Caenorhabditis elegans: one gene and its partners. The protein of the gene in region 1 interacts with the protein of each later gene in a pairwise test. Each region holds a gene or a part of one and is shown in the gene's direction. Other genes may lie near its edges.

Evidence for each region.
Region 2: the proteins of tcc-1 (region 1) and flap-1 interact in a two-hybrid assay, tested with the Caenorhabditis elegans proteins (one large-scale study listed by BioGRID).
Region 3: the proteins of tcc-1 (region 1) and unc-116 interact in a two-hybrid assay, tested with the Caenorhabditis elegans proteins (one large-scale study listed by BioGRID).
Region 4: the proteins of tcc-1 (region 1) and F35C11.5 interact in a two-hybrid assay, tested with the Caenorhabditis elegans proteins (one large-scale study listed by BioGRID).

Annotation. Positions count from the first base shown.
Region 1 is NC_003283.11:17,852,832-17,858,188, reverse strand, and holds the start of tcc-1 (Ribosome-binding protein 1), read left to right. Parts: upstream 1-2,199; 5' UTR 2,200-2,202; coding exon 2,203-2,322; intron 2,323-3,173; coding exon 3,174-3,730; intron 3,731-4,586; coding exon 4,587-5,186; intron 5,187-5,357.
Region 2 is NC_003281.10:6,923,398-6,931,164, reverse strand, and holds flap-1 (Leucine-rich repeat flightless-interacting protein 2), read left to right. Parts: upstream 1-2,349; 5' UTR 2,350-2,354; coding exon 2,355-2,441; intron 2,442-2,488; coding exon 2,489-2,605; intron 2,606-3,339; coding exon 3,340-3,399; intron 3,400-3,448; coding exon 3,449-3,538; intron 3,539-3,581; coding exon 3,582-3,755; intron 3,756-3,929; coding exon 3,930-4,006; intron 4,007-5,582; coding exon 5,583-5,809; intron 5,810-6,285; coding exon 6,286-6,365; intron 6,366-6,414; coding exon 6,415-6,519; intron 6,520-6,683; coding exon 6,684-6,788; 3' UTR 6,789-7,065; downstream 7,066-7,767. Other genes in the region: inf-1 (Eukaryotic initiation factor 4A), read right to left, coding at 1-87, 140-559, 644-916, 966-1,028.
Region 3 is NC_003281.10:8,350,163-8,356,770, reverse strand, and holds unc-116 (Kinesin heavy chain), read left to right. Parts: upstream 1-1,596; 5' UTR 1,597-1,675; coding exon 1,676-1,714; intron 1,715-1,761; coding exon 1,762-1,857; intron 1,858-2,030; coding exon 2,031-2,192; intron 2,193-2,425; coding exon 2,426-2,723; intron 2,724-2,771; coding exon 2,772-3,001; intron 3,002-3,048; coding exon 3,049-4,374; intron 4,375-4,424; coding exon 4,425-4,716; intron 4,717-4,959; coding exon 4,960-4,964; 3' UTR 4,965-5,607; downstream 5,608-6,608. Other genes in the region: R05D3.6 (Putative ATP synthase subunit epsilon, mitochondrial), read left to right, coding at 5,966-6,046, 6,269-6,352. UniProt on the Caenorhabditis elegans protein: Microtubule-dependent motor protein required for organelle transport. Plays a role in endosome transport. Required for the transport of mitochondria along the axon of motor neurons. Involved in the nuclear migration of hyp7 hypodermal precursor cells.
Region 4 is NC_003280.10:8,251,797-8,256,226, forward strand, and holds F35C11.5 (Phospholipase A2), read left to right. Parts: upstream 1-1,947; 5' UTR 1,948-1,957; coding exon 1,958-2,177; intron 2,178-2,237; coding exon 2,238-2,332; intron 2,333-2,409; coding exon 2,410-2,626; intron 2,627-2,673; coding exon 2,674-2,844; intron 2,845-2,890; coding exon 2,891-2,940; intron 2,941-3,024; coding exon 3,025-3,189; 3' UTR 3,190-3,523; downstream 3,524-4,430.

The DNA of each region.
Region 1 (5,357 bases):
ACACTGAAGACACAAGAGACACCAGACACTCTGTCCGTTCTCTGAGTCTCTGTGGCTTCCCGTGATCTCTCGTTGGCGCCCAGCGCCTGTCATTGGCGCTGCCCACGAATAGATAGTGTACGTGGAGTGGAGAGTCACCAGACAGAGCAATAGGGAATGTCCAGAAGCATCGGGAGGGATGAGAGGACGTGGCTGCAGTGCCCCCTGTTTCTCTGTGTCTCTGCGGTATTTCCCGTACTTTTTTTGGGGGGTTTCTTCTCCTTTGCAGCAGATCCCGAAATTCCTCGAATTTCGCATTTCCGCCGCCGCCCACTTTTTTCCAGCTTTTCCAGCAGCGATCTGGAATTTTTGAAGCTTTGACGTCCGTATTTTGAGATTTTGTTCCAAGAAATTTAGTTTTTTGAACTGAAAATCGAGGAAATCGACCGGTTTTGGGCCAGGTTTCTCTGAAAATTGGTGCCTAACCAGGGTTTCTAACTGACTTTAATGTTGCCCAGTTTTGGGATTTTTTTGGTCGGTAAAACCAAATTTTTTTTCCTAGAAAATTAATCTTATGGAAAAAAAAAACTGGATTTTACCTGAAATTTTCGAATTTACTGACTGTTTTAGTCTATTTTTTCGAGTGTTTCAAAGCAAAATTCCCACTGACACCGCCGGTAGGCAGGCAAGGCTTCAGAGAATGATGCCTGCCTGAAATCTGCCTGCCTTTCGCCTCTTTGCTGCATTTTGACATGAGTTTTCAAATTTTCTCATTTCTATCAATTTGTTAAAAAATCAAATTACACGTAACACGTATTGAGGCGAGAGTCAGGCGGAGTCGGTCGCCTCAAAGACAGGCAGGTAGGCCTACGTTCAAGGCCTACACACCAGGGGTGCCAGGCTGCCCATTTCGGTTTGATCTACACAAAAATGCGGGAGAGTTTGAGACGCGAGTTTTCAACCGATTTTGCATGGTTAAGAACGTGCTGACGTCACATTTTTTGTTGGGCAAAAAATTCCCGCATTTTTTGTAGATCAAACCGTAATGGGACAACCTGGGGACCACGTGGGCCTACAGAAGTGTGTTCCTAAACGACAAAAAGCCTACAATTTCTCTTCCTATTAGGTTTCTCAAGTATCAAAGTTTTTCATTGATTAACACAGGGATACACCCCCTCTCTTGATGATTTTCTATTTGACCTCGATATTTCGGAATTTCGGGTGTACTTTGTCGTTCCCCGCGCGCGGGCTGCGAAAACTTTTTTTTTAATATAAAAGTTGTCTCCACCGCGGCCCGCGCAATTGTCTTTACCCCAACGGAAATGCAATTATTATTGTCATTTTTATCACCACCATTTCAACTTTGCCGATCTCTGTGTGAAATTCTCAGTTGCCGTCCCCGAAAGTAAAGAAAAGTGCTCGAAATGCCACTTTTTTTTTTTTGGAAGAATTTTCAACTTTGAAATGGATTTTCCCGAAAAACTGGCATCTCAGCGAAGAAATTTCTCGGTTGTAGTGGAATTTTCTACTCAAAAACTCGATTTTTTTTTATTAAAAAATTCAAATTTCGAGGTATTTTAGTGGAATTTTCTATTGAAAACTCAATTTTTCACATTAAATCCCATATTTTTTCTTGGAAATTATCGATATTCAGCTTTAAAAATATGTGAAAAGTTGAAAAATGACTCCTTTGTCGATTTACGCAGCTCTTGTGTACTTCTCGAGGAGAAGAGAAGATTTGTACAGTTATAGTAAAAATGCGGCATTTTTGGATATTTTTACTAAAATTGTAACTCTTCTCCACGAGGAGTACACAAGAGCCGCGTAAATCGACACAGGAGTCATTTTTCAACTTTTCAGATATTTTAAAGCTGAAATATCGATAATTTTCAGAGAAGAAACATAGAAAATTCCACTAAAAACGAGAAATCCATTGAAAATAGCTCGAAATTCGGAATTTTTAATCGAAAAAAACGAGTTTTTGAGTAAAAAATCTCTATGAAAATGTGGGAAATTTGATATTTTCGAAATAAAATCGATTTTTCAGGGTTTTACACTGAAAAAGTGCCATTTTTTTCGAAAATTTCGAATTTTACACGTTTTCATAGAGATTTTTTACTCAAAAACTCGATTTTTTCGATTAAAAATTCCGAATTTCGATAATTTCTCCATTTTCCCACTTTTTTCTATAAAATTTCTAAAAATGCTAAATAATTTCAGCCAATGGACTCGTCATTCGTCGATCCATCAACAGCTCTCGGCATTCTCGGTGGTGTTGGTGTATTTGTGTTTGCAATTTATTATATGATATTCATGAATCGACAAGAGGATAATTTTGACAAGGTTCGGAACGATTTTCGTGGAAAAATTGAGATTTTTCACACGAATTCTGATCAGAAGAGTGAAATTTCAAGAGATTATCGACTTTTTTCGCTTAACAACCGGATTTTCCTTGACCTAAAATTGGCCTAAAACTTTTTTTTCCCCGCGAAAAAACCAGGAAAACTAAATTTTTACGAGAAAAGTGGATATTTTTCAGAGAATTCTGACTGAAAAGGCAATTTTCCTCGGATTTTCTCATCAAATTGACTGAAAATCTGCGAAAAATACCTTTTTGTGCCTGAAAATTGTTGAAAAAAATTAATTTTTATCAGAAAAACGGCATTTTCAGCAAACTTTTATTCTAAAAAAGACGATTTTTAACGAGGAATTCGATATTTTTTCCGAGAATTTTGACTTGAAATGAGCAAAATTGCTCTTTTTCACTTAAAAAAAACAATTTTCCTATCAAAAATTGGATTTTTATCGAAGTTTTCCCAAAAAAAGAAGGTTTTCGGTTCAAAATTGGCTTCTTTCGGTTTTTTAAGGCAAAAATGAACAAATTCAGGCCAAAAATGCCAATTTTCAGGTGTAAATTTAAAATTTCAACACAAAAATCGTCTTTTTGTTTTTTTCGATGAAATCTTCGCTGAAATTCGGTTTTCCTGATAAAAATTGGTTTAAAAAATGGGAATTTAGGCACAAAAATGTCGTTTTTTGGGGGAAATTCTGAATAAAATACGATTATATTTTCAAAAAAAAAAAACAAATATTCCAAGGAATTTCTCCAAAAAGAAGGATTTTTGTGTGCTGAAAATTGGCATTTTCAGTCAAAAAAAAAACTGTAAAAATCTATAAATTTTTCAAATTTTCAGGCTTACAACCGCGACGCATTGGCTCTTTTGACTGACAACAACGAGAAGAAGAAACAGCCAAAAAATAAGACAAAGAAGCAACAGCAAACGGGCAAAAAAGCACAAGATGCCGCTCCAGCTCCGGCTTCAGCTGCTCCAGCTGCTCCAAATGCTCCAACTCCAACGGCTCAGCAACAACCATCACCAAAAGCTTCTGCTGCTCCAATTCCAGAAAAACCGGAAATTCAAGTCCAAAAAGTGGAATCTACTCAGGCTTCTGCTCCAATTCCAGCTCCAGCAGCTCCAACAACTCAAAAATCGTCTCCAAAAGAGCGAAAATCGGTGAATTTGAAGGATTTGGATCAGAAAAAGGTGCTCAACAAGCTCTCCGGACTCCCAGAACTCGATGAAGCTTATATTCAATTCTTGGCTGGAGCATTCCGTGATTCTGATGCTCAGAAGAATAATTTGAGTCTGGAAGTTAAGGCTTTGAACAAGAAGATGACGGAATCTGCTGTGAAAATTGAGAAATTGAATAAAGAAAAGATGGCTGTGGAACAACGCGAGAAACACGAGCAGTATGTCGATTTTTTACGCGGAAAATTGAGAAAAATCGTGAAAATTGATGAAAATTGGTCTAAAAATGATAATTTTGTGCGAAAATTCAAGAATTTCGATGGAAAACGTGGAAAAATCACGAAATTTCATGAAAATTGGGCCAAGAATGATATTTTTTCGTCCGAAATTTAAAAATTCTGAACTAAAATTGCTGACCACGCATTTCTGACAAAAAAAGAGGCAATTTTCTCCAAAATTTGATGAAAAATCGTTTTCTCAGTCGAAATGCACCATAATTTAGTCAATTTTGACGGAAATTAGGCAAAATCGATTGAAAATTTCCAATTTCCCGCCGAAATTTGACTTTTCGACGATTTTTCGTTAGCAAACAGCTGAAAAACGACATTTTGGCCGTGAAAATTGTAGAATTTTGTTTTAAAAATTACTATTTTCAGCCTAAATTGTTGTACAACGGTAAAAACCCTAATTTATTCAAAAATTTAACTTTTCTGTCTTGAAAATCGGGCTGAGAACCGACAGTTTTACGCAAAAAAATGCTCCAAATTTGTGAAAAATCCCTAAAAACTTCTTAAAATTGAGCTCAAAGAGTCCGAGCAGGCATTCCTTTCAAAAAACGGTGAATTTTAAGAAATTCGCCAAAAATTACAAATTCCAGCAAAAAATTCAACTTTTGGTCTTAAAAATCGGCTAAAAAAACGCTGAAATTGCTGGAAAAATTTTCAATTTTCCGCTTAAAATCTCTCTAAAAACCTGCAATTTTTCAGTGCTCAACGCCAAAAAAAGCTCTAAAAATGTGAAAAAACCCAAAAAATTGCACTTTTGAGCCTAAAATCCGAATTTTCTCCTGTTTTTCAGAGCTCAACGCCAACAACTCTTGCAAAAAGTGGCTCAAAATCAGGCTCACGAATCAGAATTGGCTCGTCAAATTCAGGGAATTGAAGGAAAACTTCGTGTGAAAGAGCAAGAACTTGTTGCCGCAGGAAAAGCTGTCAAAAATAATGAAGAGCATGAGAAAGAGCTGAAGCTGTTGAGAAGCACGAATTCGAGTTTTTCAACAGAGCTGAAGACGATTCGAAAGGAACATGAAGCTCAGTTACAGAAGAAACAAGAAGAATGGAAGAAGCTACATGAGCAGTTGGAGCAAGAAAAGGAGAAGCTTATTTCGGAAAAAGAGCACGCAAAACAGACACATTTGAAGCTGGCGGCAGCTGTTGAAAATGTTGAAGCTGAACTTGAAAAGCAAGGAAAAGAATGGATTCAATTGAGCACACACAATCAAACATTGAAACAACACAATTTAGAGTTGGAAGCTGCTCTTTCAGTGGCAAAAGCTCGAGATCAAGACGGAGAAGCTCAGAAATGGACGATGGAAAAAGCTCAGATGATTGAGAATTATACGCGATTGGAGGCACTTATCGGGGAGCTCAATCGAGATATTTCAGAGTTTCACGAATAGTGAGTAGATGAACAATTTTCGAGGAAAATCTGAAAATTTTCAGAAAAACGGAAATTTATGTTAAAATCGAGAAAACAGGCAATTTTTGCGCTGAAAAACCGAAAATTTCGAGTTTTTCCACCCTATTTTTGGTCTAGAATCGGTCAAAAATGAGCAGCAAAGTCATGAAA
Region 2 (7,767 bases), on another chromosome or scaffold:
GACCTTCCTGCGAGTGTTACAGAAGATGACGGCTTGAGTAACATTGACAACGTTGTAGAGATCACAGAGGCAGTCAAACTTCCACTCCTGAAAAAATGGTTCATGAAAACAATTTCTTAGACTGGGCGAGTAAACTTACATCCTTTTGAACGTTGATGTAGAACTGTCTGATACCTTCAAGGGTGAGCTCGTCCTTCTTGACAAGAATGCGGATTGGATTGCGCATGAAACGATTAGTGACATCAAGAACTTCAGATGGCATAGTAGCCGAAAGAAGGACTACTTGAACGTCTTGTGGCATGGAACGGAAAACCTCGTAGATCTGATCCTTGAAACCTCTAGAAAGCATTTCGTCGGCCTCGTCGAGAACGAACATCTTAATTCTGGATGTGTCAAGAGCATTTCTATTGATCATGTCTCCAACACGTCCTGGAGTTCCGACAACGACGTGAATTCCGGCTTCGAGTTTTCGTTGATCGTCGCGAACACTGGTTCCACCGATACATGGAAGAATGTTAACGTTGAGGTACTCTCCGAGGGCGCTCATGACCTTTTGGATCTACAAAGAAAGATTTTGAAAAGTTTTCTTTAAAAGTATCTGCTAATAATCTATAACTAAAATACACTGAGTGAGAAAGTTTACCTGTTGAGCCAATTCTCTGGTTGGGGCCATAACGAGAGCTTGCACGTGTGGATCCTCGTGGTCGATTCTCTGAAGAATAGAGACCGAGAAAGTTGCAGTCTTTCCAGTTCCAGATTGGGCTTGAGCGATGACGTCCTTTCCAGTGGTGCATGGAACAATTGCGCGCTTTTGAATAGCAGATGGCTTTTCGAAACCGAATCCGTAGATTCCGCGAAGAAGCTCCTCCTTGAGCTCCATGTCGTCGAAAGATTCGACGACTTGATCATAGTTTCCCTAAAATTGAATGTATTCAAATTATAATAAATTATGTACATTAACTAACCTCGATCAAGCCGTCGGCATCGACCACCGAAGATACGTTCACATCATTTTTAACATCGGTCATGACAGGTGGGTTGAAAAGTTAAAAATTAACTTTTGGAAGTGCGATTGAGTTTCTGAAATTGAAGTAAAATGAAATTTCGAAAGTATTTCAGCATTAAATACAAAGATAAGGGTGTTGAAATAGTTCTTCAATAATAATAATTGCGAAATACAGTATCTCAATCCTAAAATTTTCGAATAAACCCATCCAAAAGAAATGAAAGAAAAGTTTCGACCTAAAAACCTTTGTTTTTTTGAGAAAAAGCATTTGAAATAAATATATTCTTAACACGAAAAGCATAAAAAACGTTTAAAAAAGCTTTAAAATCTAAAAAGAGGCTAAGAAACCGCCCCAAAACCGGGCCAAATCATTCGAACAAGAGTGACGGGTCTCGAAGCGAAGAGAGTGTTCATTAGAGCGCACATTCATACCATCAATTTTTTTTGAAGAAAAATGGCTCTTTTTTATTTGACCAATTCAATTCTTTATAATTTTTATGTACATTTGGTTATACACATTTTTGAATTCATTTTTAAAATAATTTTAATGATATAGATTCAAAATCTATACTTTTTCCGTTTTTTGAATGCAACCTGCGTAAAAAAAAGACGAGTAATCACTAACACTGACGACAGTGACATGCACTTAAAAGTGGTTCGAAATTTAAAAAATTAATTTGGATTTTTGAAGCCAAAGTAAATAATAAGGAAAGTTAGAAGGCTGAGTGTGTATGAGGTCCTCATAAAGAAAGTGAGAAATGTTGGTTGAACGATGAGAGAGCACAGCGAGCAGACTGGTCAATTTAGGCAAATGAGCGCGACGAATGAGAGTAAGAGCCGTAGAGAGCACAGCGTGCGGTGTTCCAGACGCGATGAATAAGAGAGAAACGAGAAGAACACCATCTGCTCTTCAAAAACACCTGTTGACACCGAATTAGGGGCTTGGTTAAATGCCAAAAACTGCATTGTTCGTGGATTAGGAAGAAATTGACCTATGTAGACTGTTTTGTATTGTGAACAAGAATAAATATTAAATACAGAGAAGAAAAGGTATCTGAAATCAAATAAAAAAAAGAGATCAAATTCATTGTCATGTTCACAGGCCATAAAAATCCTGAATTTTGCGGAAGGCTGTTCTCCCTCATTTCCCTCCTCCTCACTCAACCCTCACACATATTGACATAAATCTCGAAAGACGGAATCCGCGCGGACACAACGCGCGTTGGAAACATTACACTCATTTTCACTGCTGCTTCCTCTCTGTTCGTTATTGATTTTTCGCCATTTAAAATATTCAAATTCTCCTTTCTTGTGCACACACCATAAACACATACAATTTTCAGAAATCATGAGCTCATACCCATCCAGTGGTCGCCGGCGACCTATCACCCGATCAGAAGCCGAAGAAAGAGCATTAGACAAAATTTCCAGAGAGGTATCTTAACAATTTGAAAAATTCGAATTAAAAACTAAAAGTTTTAGGCGGAAGCTCGAATGAAATTGAAACGAGAAACACGAGAACAAGCCCGACAAGGAAGATATCAGTTGTTAGAAAAAAAAGTTGAAGAAGATGCGGAAGCTTATCGTCATGATACTGCTGTAAGTCGATTATTAACGAGAATGCACGTTTGACGTTGAAGTTTTACTCTCGAAACTACGTTTTTCATTTTCAGTAACCCTTCGTTTTTAATATTAATAAATTTTCGTTGAAAAAGTTCAAAAAGTATCCTGATTTCCATAAATTATTCTTGATTTCTTTTAAAGAAAAACTACATGTTCGTTATTGATTTTTCACGCAAAATTAAGATGCCCTAAAATAAAGTTTCTTAAATGTTTTTATAATCAAAAAATCTTGCGAAATTAATTATCCTAGAAAATCAAAAATAAATTTCGCTATTTTTCGTCCAAAATACGGTACTCTTTCTCGACACGACAAATTAGTGTTAAATAAAAAAAAGGACCGCTCCTTTAAAGAGTACTGTAATTTCATATTCGAAAAAACAAGGAAAAAAAATCGTTGAAAATACCATAGTAACGAAAGTTTCATATTACAGTACTTTTAAAAGGTGCATACCTTTTTTATTTAACAAAGCATTGTCGTGTCAGGACCTAGTACCGTATTATTTGCGCAAACTTTCGCGACTGGGTAATATAAACACCGAAATTCCTGGAGATCCAAAAAATGTTAGTTCGTAGAGTTCGAGTTCACTACTGCCGTATTAAAAAAAATCTAAGTTTTTAAATTAATGTCTAACTATTCTCGTGTTACTTTATATTTTAACCCCAATTAACATAAATTTTCCTTTTGAGAAACTGTTTGTTGTTAATTGCAGTCAACATCTAACACGAATGGAGTGTCATCCCAATCTAATCAGACACAGGAACAGTTGCATGTGAGTGATCTAAATTGTTTTTAACAATATATAAATTCATAATTCACAGGATAAAGTGATCGAGCTCCAAGATCGTGTTCAACAAGTCATGTTTCTATATTCTCAACTGGATAATGAGAAATCAACGTTACTTTATGAGGTGTTTTATTCGAAAGTATTTATGAAAAAATCTTAATTTCCAGGTTGATCTTCTGAAAGATGAACTTGAAGAGAAGGATGCATCCTTGAATTTATCATCTCGAGAATGTCGTGATCTTACGAGTGAAGTTAAAGCTTTAAAACGGACCATCGACGCGTTACACGCTTCTCAACAGCAGCTGAAACAAGAAATTTCACAGCGAGATCAGCTTATACAGGTGGGCGTATAATTGTTAAAACCAGCAAAAGATAAAATCGATTTTAAAAAAACCTGAGAAGCTAGGAAAGTCCTTTGTTCTGATTTCAAGAGACTCTTTAAAATATACTTAATATTGCAAAGCAAAATTTAAATTGGGGTTTTACTCGTATTGCTCTGTAAGTAATTATTTCAGGAAAATGGTCTATGTCTTGTCGAAGAAGATCCGGATGATGAAGGATCCGAATCAACGAATAACGCTTCTGGAGAAATGTAAGTTTTTTTTTTGCATGAAACTGGTTTTAGTAATTTCTGAAACTAAAATAAAAATTTCGGGCCAAAAAATTAAATTTATAAAAAACCAAAAAAAAAAGACCAAACCGATTAGAAACCATTAAAAACCACATTTTTCTAAAAAAATTTTTTTTGCAATATATGAAAATTTTTCGTCAAAAAAGCATTCAAAAAAAGTCTAGAACTGATTGAAAAAGATAGAGTCACTTTTCCAAATATATTTAGAATACTCTGTAAATTTTCTTTCAAGTTTTCGAGAAAAAAATTGAATGCGTATATTGAAACTGACTGTAAATGCTAACAGTTTCTTTAATATATATGATGTTAGGTTTTTAGTATTATAGAAGTCACTTTGAACAATTTCCCCACTAAAAACCGTTATTTCGCCTTTAAATAATACCTTGTTAGAAGGAAAAAGCCAAATTCTAAAATATGAACAATTTTTCGTAACTGTGATGTGCCACGCGTTGACTTCATGTTTGACTTTTTCAAATATCTTAGTGATTGGTGATATTATAACTAAGAGTATTCCGATGGTCCCTTGGACTTTCAAAACTTTTCAACATTTTTTCTTCTAAATTCGTCATCATTGCATTGTTTGATTAGGAAGGAGACGGCCATGAAAAAGGGAAAAATGCGATGAAGTTGTTGTCCGTATGTCTTTTTCGTTCATTAAGCTTAATCAAATGTCTTCATCCTCTTCTTTTTTTCCCCTATCATCATCATTGCCGCCTTCTTCTGAAAATGTTGATGTCTCGAAAATCTTGGAGAATAAAATAAAATTATTCCAAAGAATGCGCGATGTGCAGCAAAAAAGTCATCGTTGAGAAGAACAAACACTAGAAACATTGAACCATTGAAATATTGATGAATCACGCGGCGCGGGAGGCTTCTAAATATAGATACGGCTTTCTTCAAAAATGAGAAGATGCAAAGAGGTCAACATTTTGTTTGACGTGAGAAGTTTTGATCTTAGTTCTTTCGGGATTTAATTGATCTCAGAAAATTAGTTTGAAACGGAAATAAAATCACCGAAATTAAAAAACCTTAAAGTTTGGTTTAAAACTAATCTCTGCTGTAGTAAATATTTTTTTTATGAAGACACAACGCTTTTCTTCCAATTCATGTTTTTCATTCTTGAAATTGGAATTTTTTCGAAAATTCCACAATTGCCGAATTTGTATTCGGAAATCGGTTCTTTCGGCAATTTCAGAATTATCAAACATTTGGATTGTCGCCCATCCACAAATCACCCTTTACCGGCCCCTTGTCTTGAATAACTGTTTCCCTATACATCTTGGAACGAAAAAAGTGTCTCGGCACTTTTCGTCAATGACGCACCCCTTTCTTCTTGTTCATTATGTTCTGAATCCATTAGCATTAGTAGCTCCCCGGGGGATCGTTGATTGAATCGAAAATTCGTTGTCGGCACAAAAAAGGCGCGACACTGCGTTGCCGAATTAGTAATGCTCCCCCACGCAAGAGTTCTCTTGGCATTTTTTAGTTGAAAATTAATTTGGTGGTACTGTATATGATGGAAATACTTTTTTTTCAGAAGATCTGGACCATATCTCTTCAAAAGAGAAACGATTCGACTGGTTGATCGAGTGGTTCCTGGTGCGGCGAGTCTTGATGATAAAATCCAGAAACTTGTTGATACGAACAAAAAGATGCGAAAAGATTATGAGGAGTTGGAACAGACAATTTACACGCAACGACATGCTCGTAATGCACGAGATTCGGCAAATGTGATTCCAAATCAAGGAGTTGATGATGTTAACAGTAGGTTTTTTCGTAAATTTTGCATAATAATCAGAAAAAAACGGTGGTGATTTCCCGATACTTTGAAAAAATTGAAAATTTATCTTGAAAGTTTAGCCCTTTTTTTATTTTTAAAGGAAAATTGTTTTTTTTCATCAATATAAACAAAATTTCATTAGAAAACAAATTTTCTAATAACAAAAATTGGCTTTATCAATTTTTCTATTAGATATGTTAAAAAAAACCAAAACATCAAAAATTTTTCGACGACGCCCATTTTTGATCAAACAAGAGAAGAAATTATTTTTGTTTAAAAAAAATGTATTTTCAAAGGATACATACGGGAGGACATTTTGAGGCGACAATTCAGTAAGATATAATTTTCATTTTTAGACGTTGTGATTGAGATTGGTTAATTTTCTGTCCTAAGTTTCTCAGCTATTTATGATTTTTAAAAGAATAATTGAACATTTTCTAAAAGCTTGCTTGGATTCCAGAAGATGCCGCCAAACAGCTCGCCGAGATGAAGCTGAAAATGCAGGATCTGGAACGAGAAAATACAAATCAACAAGGAAATGTGAGATTCTAAATTGAAGAAGTTATATTTTCAAACATTTATTTTGCAGGTGATCAGAATGGAGGGGCAAATGAAGCGGTACAAATCAAATGCAGATGTAGCTGAAAAAGAATTGGACGAGTTAAAAACTCAAATGAGACAAACAAAGAAAGAGGTACGATCAGTTTCGTCGAAAAATTTTTGCCGATTTTCTAAAGATCGAATTTTTTGAAAATATTGTTAAAAAACAAAAAAATCGAAAAACTACCTTTTTCGATTTATTTTTGGAAAATTAAAAATTATTCTGCGAGAAAAAAATCTAATTTGTAAATTTTGCAGCTTCGAGACAAAGAAAACGCGTTAGACGAGCAAAAAGAAACCAATAAGCATCTCCAAAGTCGGCTGGAAAAAATGAGAATGCAAAGAACCGGTCGCCCATTATAGGATTTGTGCCAGTTAATTTTTTTCATCATTTTTTAATATTTTCCCCCACAAGGTGCTTTATTCGTATTGCCATTATCACCCATCCTAAAATTTTTTAGACATAATTTTTCTGTTCTCAGTATTCTTTTTTTTTCACCATAATTTCTTCCCTGTATGTTCATGTTTTTAGTGCCTTTATTGACTAATGTTTCGAAAGTGTCTTGTAGAAATATGTGGGTTTCCTATTTAACTTTTTTCTTTGTTGCTATTACTAAATTTCATATAAATTTATTGTCATCTATTTACATCCCCTATAATCTGAAAACTTCAAAATACCAAAAACTTCATCTCAATTCACTCTCTTACCAAAACACCCGTCATTTTTCGTTAAAAAGACTCGCCGCTTCGTCATCATCATCCAATTCATTTAAACTTCAAATTCGCGCTCTAATCAATCATCGGTCGCCTTGTCTCTACGATGAGCTGGCGTATCTTTATAATATTCGGGAAATAGATGGAGACGAGAAATGATCTTCGATAGCTCACAAGAACATACGTGGTGACATAGAAGGGAAAAATTGGGAAAAGCCATCATTTTTCGGAAGTTCAATGTTTCAAATTTGAGTTTTGATATATGTATCTTACTTAAATATTGAGCAATTTGTTGTGCAAGTTTAGGTCCTGACACGTGCAAAACTTTTTACCTACCGTAACCACCCGTTCGGTGGATTTTTTTTTTGTATTTTGCAGTTTTTCTGTATATTTAAATCTCTATATTCATATAGGATTACTGTGGGGTTACAGTAGTTTCGGGGAAAAAGAGTTGAATGTTTTGAATAGGCATTTGGTTAAGAGTTAGTGGGGGGGGGGGGGGGGGGGGGATATTACTGTGGGTTACTGTTGTTTTGGGGGAAGAAGAGTTTTGAGCTTTTGAAGAGGTATTCAGTTGGAAGTTGGTTTGGATAATGTATTTAAAGGTACTTTAGAAGTTTTTCATTAT
Region 3 (6,608 bases), on another chromosome or scaffold:
ACAAAATGAAGAGAACACAGGGAACCACGGATGTATCTCTGTGTCTCTTCACGATGCCAATACATTCCTTGTATCCCTTCGAATTTCTTTCTCCAACTCTTTCTACCACCCAATACTAAAGTCTTCCCTCGTCTCTTTTCCCGCCAAACGAATGAATGTTGTGAGTGTGTCTCTCCTCTCGTTTCACTCTTTTTCAATGAAGCTTTTGCACCGACCATCCTCTAGGTCCCACCACGAAAATCTACTGAACACAATACTCCCACCTGCAGTGTCTTTTCTCTCTTATCGTTCTTTTTCGCATCCGAATCGGTCTCCCCCGCCTTCCTTCACCATCTGCCGTATCGTGTCGTATTGGCCATTACTCATTGTCAATTTGATGACCATATTTGGTTTGAGTCTCCTTATTTGCCCTCGGATATCCTCATCTTGTTTAGTTTGTGTATTTATCTATGAAATTTATTTAAAACCGCATTTATCCATATGTTATTGCATAATATTGAAGCTAATATTCATTCCGAAAAGTTAAGAGACAAGTATCGTGGAGAAATGTTAGTTTTTGGATTTGCGATTTCAGTTTCACTTTGTCTTTCTTGTCACTCAGTAAACCCGTTCAGAATATACCCAGATTTAAACCAAATTAAAACCGTACAAGCCTATATTATGAAAAATTCTAATTTTGGGCAGATGTAAACCAAGATTGTCTAGATCCAAACTTAATTTGCATAGATTGCAAGTTTGAGTAGATGTAAACTGAATTTGTGTAGGTTTGTGTATTTCCAAATCGATTTTGTGTAGATCCAAACCAAATTTGTGCAGATAAATTCACAATATAGGCTTGTACGGTTTTAATTTGGTTTAAATCTGGGTATATTATGAACGGGTTTACTGAGCACTGCTGGATGGTGTTAATTTTATAGTATAAAATTTTGAAAATGTACGAGATTTTGCAAGTTGTTTTTAATTTTTAATTCTCGCGCATATACATAAAATGTCAAATATAAATAAGTAATTAAATAAGCATTGCTGAAAAAAAAAAGAAAACTGAAATTAAAAATTAATCTGACCGAAAATACGATAGGCAAACGTACGTAATTCGAAAAACCCAAGATTTCACGACAAATTGCCAACTAAAACATTTTTCCGCGCGGGAAAAACTTTTATTGTTTCCAGAAGTTTCCTGTTGTTTTGAAGCTATTATTTCAATTATAAAACATTTTCCGAACTCATTTTTCGAACAATTTAACCAAAAATGCATAAATTTGTGAAATTTGTGTGTGCCACGTTTGATCGACGCCAGTCTTTTTCTATTTCTCTATTTTCTGTGTGAAAATTTTGAATATTCAGTACAAACGTTGCAGTTTTTGTTATTTTGTTATCATTCCGTTGTCTATCCATAATCTATGAGCCTTTAGTTTATTTTTTGTCAAAGCCGCCCAATCAAACAAAACTCGCAGCTTCTGTGCATCGCGCACGAGACGAGTGATGAAATATTCCGAAATTTCGCAATGTTTTGCCGTTTCCTCCTTTCTCTATTTCTCTTGCATCTCGTCATCTTTTCTTGTTCTCTACTCAGCATATTGATTATACTTATTGCAGGCATTGTAAGGAGAAGCCGGGTAATTAATACGATAGGCGCCGTTACAAACCGCCAACTGGTGATCATTATTCTCTGAAAATGGAGCCGCGGACAGACGGAGCAGAATGCGGTGTCCAGGTATTAATTTTCCCCGCCTAGATTTTCCAATTTCATATTGTTTTCAGGTATTTTGTCGTATTCGGCCGCTCAATAAGACCGAGGAGAAGAATGCGGACCGTTTCCTGCCCAAATTCCCTTCCGAGGACAGTATATCGCTTGGGGTGAGTAATACAAAGGGGTCATAGGGAACAATTATGTCAACAGGGACGGGAAGCACGGGGGATGCAGGTGTGTCAATTCTCTCACATGACACATTCATCTGTTTGAAAAGTACACGAAAAGTGCAAAGTTGAATATATATATATATATCGATTGATTTGTTGGAATTTTTCAGGGAAAAGTATACGTGTTCGATAAAGTGTTCAAGCCGAACACCACGCAAGAGCAAGTGTACAAAGGAGCCGCTTATCACATCGTACAGGATGTATTATCCGGTTATAATGGAACAGTTTTTGCATATGGACAAACATCTTCCGGAAAAACACATACAATGGAGGTAGGAATTATGAAAACCTTGATAATTACGTAGAATGCGACAAAGACAATCAAGTTGTAATATCAACAGTGCAAATCTTTACTGATTAATGAAAAGAAAAGTTTGAGAACTAATTTTCAGCAGTTATTTCCGAAATCGAATGCCCGAAAGATTTTTGATAATTTTTACGTTTAAAATATTCGGCGCTCGATGAAATTAACAATATAATTTAATTATTTTCATATTTTTTACAGGGAGTAATCGGTGATAATGGCTTGTCGGGAATCATTCCACGTATCGTTGCTGACATCTTTAACCACATTTATAGTATGGACGAGAATCTTCAATTTCACATCAAAGTGTCCTATTATGAAATTTACAACGAGAAGATTCGAGATTTATTAGACCCCGAGAAGGTCAATTTGTCCATTCATGAAGATAAAAATCGAGTGCCATACGTGAAGGGAGCCACCGAACGGTTTGTTGGAGGACCCGATGAGGTTCTTCAGGCAATCGAAGATGGAAAATCCAACAGAATGGTTGCAGTTACGAGTGAGTAAACTTAAAATTAAACAAATTAACATGTGAACGAAATTTCAGACATGAACGAACATTCTTCTCGATCTCATTCCGTCTTCTTGATTACTGTGAAACAAGAACATCAGACAACAAAGAAACAGCTCACCGGAAAGCTTTATCTTGTTGATTTGGCTGGTTCTGAGAAAGTGAGCAAAACTGGAGCTCAAGGAACAGTTTTAGAAGAAGCCAAAAACATCAACAAGTCACTTACTGCACTCGGAATAGTTATTTCAGCATTGGCTGAAGGAACTGTGAGTTGTTTAAATTATGACCTTCTTAAAACGAATATTTATTTCAGAAATCTCATGTTCCATATCGTGATTCCAAACTGACTCGTATTCTTCAAGAATCTCTAGGAGGAAATTCCCGTACTACAGTTATTATTTGTGCTTCTCCGTCACATTTCAACGAAGCTGAAACTAAATCCACACTTTTGTTCGGAGCACGTGCGAAGACTATCAAGAATGTTGTACAAATCAACGAAGAGCTCACAGCAGAAGAATGGAAACGGCGATATGAGAAAGAAAAAGAGAAGAATACTCGATTGGCCGCCCTTCTCCAGGCAGCGGCTTTGGAACTTTCACGCTGGCGTGCTGGAGAATCAGTGTCTGAGGTTGAATGGGTCAATCTATCAGATTCTGCTCAAATGGCTGTGTCGGAAGTTTCTGGTGGGTCGACTCCACTCATGGAACGTTCGATTGCTCCAGCTCCTCCAATGCTAACTTCTACAACTGGCCCGATCACTGACGAAGAGAAGAAGAAGTACGAAGAGGAACGTGTCAAACTGTATCAGCAACTCGACGAGAAAGATGATGAGATTCAAAAAGTTTCGCAAGAGCTTGAGAAGCTTAGACAACAAGTTCTTCTCCAAGAAGAAGCTTTGGGAACTATGCGTGAAAACGAGGAGCTGATCCGTGAAGAGAACAACCGATTCCAAAAAGAAGCTGAAGACAAGCAGCAAGAAGGAAAGGAAATGATGACAGCTCTGGAAGAGATTGCTGTCAACTTGGATGTTCGACAAGCAGAATGCGAAAAATTGAAGAGAGAGTTGGAAGTTGTTCAAGAAGATAACCAGAGTTTGGAAGATCGAATGAACCAAGCAACATCACTCCTCAATGCTCATCTTGACGAATGTGGTCCAAAAATCCGTCATTTCAAAGAAGGAATCTACAATGTTATTCGTGAATTCAACATTGCTGACATTGCCTCTCAAAATGATCAACTTCCTGATCACGATCTTCTGAACCATGTCAGAATCGGAGTTTCAAAACTCTTCTCAGAATACTCTGCTGCGAAAGAGAGCAGTACAGCTGCCGAGCATGATGCTGAAGCGAAACTTGCAGCTGATGTTGCTCGTGTTGAATCTGGTCAAGACGCGGGTAGAATGAAACAATTGCTGGTGAAGGATCAGGCGGCAAAGGAGATCAAGCCACTAACAGATCGTGTCAATATGGAGCTTACAACGTTGAAGAATTTGAAAAAGGAGTTCATGAGAGTACTTGTTGCTCGATGCCAAGCCAATCAAGACACCGAGGGAGAAGATTCTCTCAGTGGACCAGCTCAAAAGCAACGAATTCAGTTCTTGGAGAACAATTTGGACAAGTTGACGAAGGTTCACAAGCAGGTTTGTCGTTTTTATTCTCATTTTGATTATCTTAAAACTTGAATTTTCAGCTTGTTCGCGACAATGCCGATTTGCGCGTTGAACTGCCAAAGATGGAAGCTCGTCTTCGTGGTCGTGAAGATCGCATCAAAATATTAGAAACTGCTCTTCGTGATTCGAAGCAACGTAGTCAAGCAGAACGAAAGAAGTATCAACAAGAAGTTGAACGAATCAAGGAAGCTGTTCGACAACGTAACATGCGACGAATGAATGCTCCACAAATTGTGAAGCCAATCCGTCCAGGACAAGTGTATACGTCTCCGTCAGCAGGAATGTCACAAGGAGCTCCAAATGGCTCAAACGGTGTGTTTAGTCAGACATCTACACCTTCAACATCTCGCAATCAGATACCATCAAAAATGACTATTTCACAGTTGATTGCAGAAATTTAAGATTTTTTTAAAAATTCTTTAGTGCTCATGTAATTTTTCACAAGTAATTATACTATGAATTAGAATTAGAGTGAGTGTTTCTTTTTCTTCCTACCGTATTATCAAATTTAACAGTCTTTTGTCCGTCCATTTTTCACTAATCAAAGTTTTTCAGCATAATGTCTCCCAACAACAACATCAACTCATCGTCTTCTTTGATCCAATCAATACACTGAAGACTGACATTCAAATGCTTCTCTATCTCTCTTCTTTTCCCGGCTTTGTGATATACTTTCGATGGGCTTTTCTGTTTATTTTAAAATCTAGTAACTTATACAATTACGCGGCTTCTGGAAGTTTCAACAAAAATATCTTCATTTGGTTGGTTGTGTCTCCCCATTTCGTTCCTTGGCTTCTCGTCTTCCATGTAGAATACAAAACTTCAAAAGCTAAAAGTATTTAAAGCTTCCCTCCACCCCCACCCAAATTGCCTTTTTCCGCCTTTTTGTTCTAATAGTCTGTTTCTATACGATTTTCCTGTTTCAGTTTTACTAATCTGACACGAGGTTTTGTCTGGTTCTTCCCCCCGTCACCCACCAACACTCCTATGATTGTTTTTTGCATGCGTTTGAGTGTCTTTAAAGCTTGCTTGCTAAATCCCCCTATCATTCTTCATAAGAAATCAACTTGTTTCGTTTCTGCACAATTCGGCCCCCAAATCCCCGCACATCCCAATTGCGTAATTCATTTTTTTGTATCTTTTGCTCTTCCAGTAAATAAAATTATTATTTTTTCTGTTATTAAATAAACGTTTTGCTGTTTTTTAAACAAGATTTTACAATAACATACGAGCAAGAATAACCAACAAACGCATGAGCTTAACTGATTAGTGTTCTGGAGTGAGAATATCATTGAAAACTATGAGAAATAAGTTTAATGTAATTAAATATTTATTGATAGTTTTGTTTCCATTTTGGACCAACTAATTATTATTCAGTAACTTTCGAATATTATCAAGTTTCCTGTTGAACTTTGACTGTATAAAGTTTTTATTTTTTATTTTACAGATTTCTCTAGTCTAAAGGTTGTTCTCCATACCTTTCAATTTACTTCCTTTTTCTGAAAATTTTATTATTTTATAGTATAAATTAAGGTTAAATAACTTTCCCCCAAAATCAAAAATGGTCGCCTGGAGAGCTGCTGGACTCAACTACGTCCGTTATTCACAAATCGCCGCACAAGTCGTTCGTCAGTGCACCAAGGTTTGTTGGACCCTTAAATAACAATATATGCCCCTTTAAGTGGTACAGTAACCCGTTCCGTTAATTTTCTGTTTATCATTTTTCAAGTTATAACCTATAGGTTTCAATTAAGTAATATGTTTCTGAAAATTACCGGTAATTAATTACTGGGCTCCTAAAGGTTCACACATTTTTGTCCCACATCAAAGTATGAAAAATCGCAAAAATTATCAAAAATTACAGGGAGGCGCCAACGTGAAGAAGCCCCAAGCCACCTTGAAGACCACTGCTTGGGAGAATGGAAAGATGGTGTCCAAGTCTCAATAGATTCATTCGATAATTGATCATTTCCATTTGAGAAAAAAATAAACAAATAGGTTTCATCAAGTTCGGTGCAATATGCCATTTTCCGCATTTTTTATTGATTTGTGTGCAATAATAAACTCTTAGTTTTGTTTGAAAGCGTTTGAAAAAGTGAGAAAAAATGAGTATTGACCAGAATAATAAAAATCCGACAAAACAAACTCCCGGAACGGGGTCCTGGCACGTGAAAAAGTTTTCAGTTACCGTACCTCGTGTAGGT
Region 4 (4,430 bases), on another chromosome or scaffold:
ATTTTTGAAGGGTTCATGTCAATCATATCCTCCCTCCTCTATTATTTTTGCTCGTAAACCTCGTTTTTGAGGTGTCACGTGGTTTTAACTTTTATGACGGCGTAACTCGAACACGTGTTGATACTGAAGTTATTGTTATTAGATTTTTTCTTTTTTTCAATTTTCGAATAAAACTTAAAATTTTACTGGATTTTGTAAAGTTGACTGTAGTCAAAAAATCAAAAGAACAATATAGTTGGTTGTGCGAAAAATAACATCGGCAATTTTCAAAGGGATTCCTCTTCTATGTTTTGATTCCAGAAAGCTTTAATGGTTTTTGAAATTATTTTCTATTTTCTCCATTTGAATGTTGTGTTTTGTTCTTAGTTGATCCACAGGAAAACTACAGTAGCAAAGCTTTCCATATTTGCAAGCTTATGCAATATTCAGTTCTGGATATTTTGACCAAGAGGACTGTTGCAAGCCTATTGAATTGTAATATGATTTTTCTGTTTCCTTAAATTCTATAAGATAACTTACCAAAATCTCGAGAGGTATCTGAGCTCTACAAACCAACTCCACCCACCAAATTATTTGGTTGTCCGAGATATGATGGGTACACAGAACAGATACCAGTGATACACAGAACAACTGTCAGAACTTTTCAATATGCCAACTTTTTTCGACTTTCAAATTTTTTTGGTAGATTCATCCTTCATCCTCTTATTTCCTCGTTTTTTACAGTTTCAAGATACAATCTTTGCAACCGTTCGTTCCTCAATGCCTCATTTAATCTCGCACCACTTTTCTTCGTTTTCCCATCACCCCATACAGATTTCCTTTGTTCATTTTACCGCCAGGAAGAGATCTCTTTACGGGGTGTTTTAAGGGGCGTAGGCGGGGAAGGAGGGAGACTATGGTGGTGGTGATCAGGCCATTTTTACGGCTCTCGTTGAGCTGTCAAACTACTCGATTGCACTATCAAGTGGGATAGGGAAGCTGCTCCCGTTTGTGAGCACTTGTGTGTAGCCAATACACGAAAAAAGTTAGGATTTTGGATGAGTAAATAGAAAATGAGGTGATTTTGTCAATTAGGTCATTTTCGACACATTTCTCACTTGCTATGCATTTTCTAGTCATAGCAGCGTTTTCCCCAGTGGAGTAACTTTTTCGTGATTTCAATGGGTTACTGTAGATGTAGTAGACTCTAAAAATATAATAAATGCAACCTATTCATGTCAACTAAAAAAACTCGAACCACAGTAATCCCCCTATAACTTCAGTGCTAATTTTTTTCGATTTCAATTAATTTTAACGAAGTCTCTCGTCACTTATCATTAGTGGTTCAAGTTTAATATACCGTAGTTTTCCTGGATGTTTCCTTCTTCGGAGATTCCATACAGATTTTTACACTATCATTGCCGTTGAAAAAAACTATTTTTAGTACTCTGTTCTGATGATAAAGTCGCGGACATAAAAAATAAACCAGCAATGATTCACACTCCTCGAAAACTTTGTTCACTTTTTCAAAATTTTCAATTAGGTACTGTAGTTCTGAAATTGTGTGGTTCACGCAAGGCGCATTGCACACTTTTTTATTCTCTCCAATTTTTAGCGCGAAATTTTTTTTGTGAAAACAACTGAGGACCGTTTCCACTCGATTTTCCTTTCTGCCTACAAGCCAAATAAATTCATTTCTAGTATCTTTGTTTGCTGTAACTCATTTCTGCTTCTGAATTTCGTGGAATCTTTCCTATTTTACAAAAAAGAAATACGTTTATTTTTTCTAAACAATCTTTCAACAAAAAACCATCAGCCGAATTTTCTTTTAGTTTGTCGACGATTTTCTCTCCGCACCGATGTGTTTTTTATTGTTGTGAAATTGGAGTTTACGGTTTACGGTTTTCTGCGCTCCCCATTTCCACTTTCCGCATCAATTTCAATCTTCAATCAGTATTATTTACAGATACAAAAGAGTATGTTCCTCCAATCCGCCACCCTTGTCATCATAACGTTGCTACCATTATTCAGTGGACTTGAGGTGAGACGGAGGAGGTCCGTTGCTCCTTTTCTTGGCTCGGGTGGATCACAGCCAACCGGAATGCTCATTTCACCAGAGCTCTGGCATTGTGGAAGTGAAGGAAGTACGCGGAATTATACCTATCAGGCTACTGTTCGAGATTGTCCTTCTCTTGCAGGTAGCAATTTTCTTTTAATAAATTATTACGAAAAAGTTCTTAATTTAAAATTATTTTCAGCTGCTCTCAATCACTGCTGTGCGATTCACGACGACTGCTACGGTCAACAGAAGGGTCAAGAGAAATGCGATGAAGATTTTTGTGAATGCAATCGTGTTAGTAATTTTCAGAAATTTTTTAAAATGAAGTTCAATCGAAATAAGATTCAATTTCAAAATAAACTTTTTTCCAGATGGTAACCCGTTTGCCTACCGAAGAAGGTTACAAATGCCGTGCAGCAGCAGATGATGCATGTCTCATTCTCGCAGTGCTCGGCTGGTCCGCCTATGGTGATTCAAATTACACTGATCCTACGAAACCATCAGCAAATGTGTTGGTTACACCTGAGACAGTTCCGAAAATGGAGAGTGACTTCATGAATTTATATTCCAAGTGTCCTTATGCCAATAGTAAGTGGTCGAAACATTGTTTCAGTCTTTAATTATTCATTTTCCAGTAACCCTCGCTTCATGTGCTAATAATTTCGATCTCTGTGCCGTTGTTCATTCTGTGGATTTCTGCGCCAATGATCTTTGCCACTGTATGTTGGATGCTGCCGAATCAGACGATATTCACAAGAAAGAATGTTCCCCAGCAGTAGCTCATACTTGCAGAGCTGTTTTGAGACGTAAAAAAACCCTTTTATTCCATGAGAAATTAACATTTATTTACAGATTCGAGTGACGTGCTTGCTTCCCGAAGTGTCACCAGAAACTTCATTATCGTGAGTTTTCATTAGTTTTTTTTCTTAAGGAAATATTAATTTAAAAAGTAACAATTGAAATTTCTATATCTTGCAATTTTTCAGATCGCTCTTCTTGTTCTTGCCGCAGCCTCAGTTGGTTTCGGACTTTTCTTCATGTACACACGAGTTGCTGGAGAGAGAAAGAAGGTCGAAGAAGGCAAATATCTGCAAATTCACACTGTGGAGTCGGCCCGATCAGTCAACCCATTGCTGCTCAGCGCTGACTGATTTATTTCCAAAAATGTATCTAATTCTGCAAAAATTGTTCAATAATTTATAGCACCCGTCCTTCCGTTGTTTCTTTTTTTCCTTTTTTTCTCGTTTTCTTTCCTCAAAAATTCTTTATTGCCTCCAAAAGTAGAGTTTTATCGTCGAACTTACCTAACACTAATATCATTCTTAACAGCACGAGCTTGATTGTTACAGCAATTATTTTTTAAACAAATTCCGGGTTGGAGGGATTTGATTTCTCTCCCAGATTACAAATTTATTACGGCTAGTTTTATCCCTCAAAAATTCTGTTCAATAAATACTTCATTTTGCTCTTTCGAGCATTGAATCTAAATACAGAGTTGTACAAAAATAGCTACATAGAAAGGAATTTTGAGAAGAGTTAAACAAGGATATTTCAGATCAAGGGTGGGCGGCATTTGCCGTTCGGTAAATCGGCAAATTGCCGGTTTGCTGATTTGCCGGAAATTTTCAATTCCGGAAAACTGTCGATTTGCCAAAAATTTTCAATTCTGGCAAAGTGCCGGTTTGCCGATTTGCCGGAGATTTCAGCAAATTGCCGATTTGTCGTTTGCCGGATATCAGATTTGCCGGAAATGTTTCGGGATTTTGTATACGACGTAAACTCGTAAAAATGCCTTTTTGAAAATTTTCCCGTTTTCTTTATATTTTTTCATAGAATTGGCTTACTTTTCAAAATAGATGTAGGAACATTCATAGGATGCGTACAATATTGCCGATTGAAATTAAATTCTGTCATTTCCAAAAAAAAAGTGCAAAACCACACTTTGCCGAATTTTTTCGGCAAAAAAATCGTTTGCCGCTCACCCCTGTTTCAGACGATTCCATCTTTTATTTCATATAATAACTAGAGACTAGTTATTCCAATACTATCGAGCATCTTCCCTCTTGTTCTAAATATTTCAAACAGTTGAAATGCAATGGCCATGATGAGATTGTGGTGTCAGAATTAAGCGGATCGACGTAATCTCTCTCTTTTTCCGCACAAAACCATCATTTTTGTATGTACGTATGAACCCACACATGTTTTCTCTTCAAATTGGGAAAAAATGTTTAATTTTTCAAAAGAACAAACTATTATATTTCTTTTCACATATTTTTATTTCTTTTCACATACATATCTTCTACCATTTTGTTCCATAATTATACTTGTTCTTTTCTAAATCCCGTCGTTTCTTTTTCCTAGGGGAAAGTTTTGGTTAGATCATCGTTTGTAC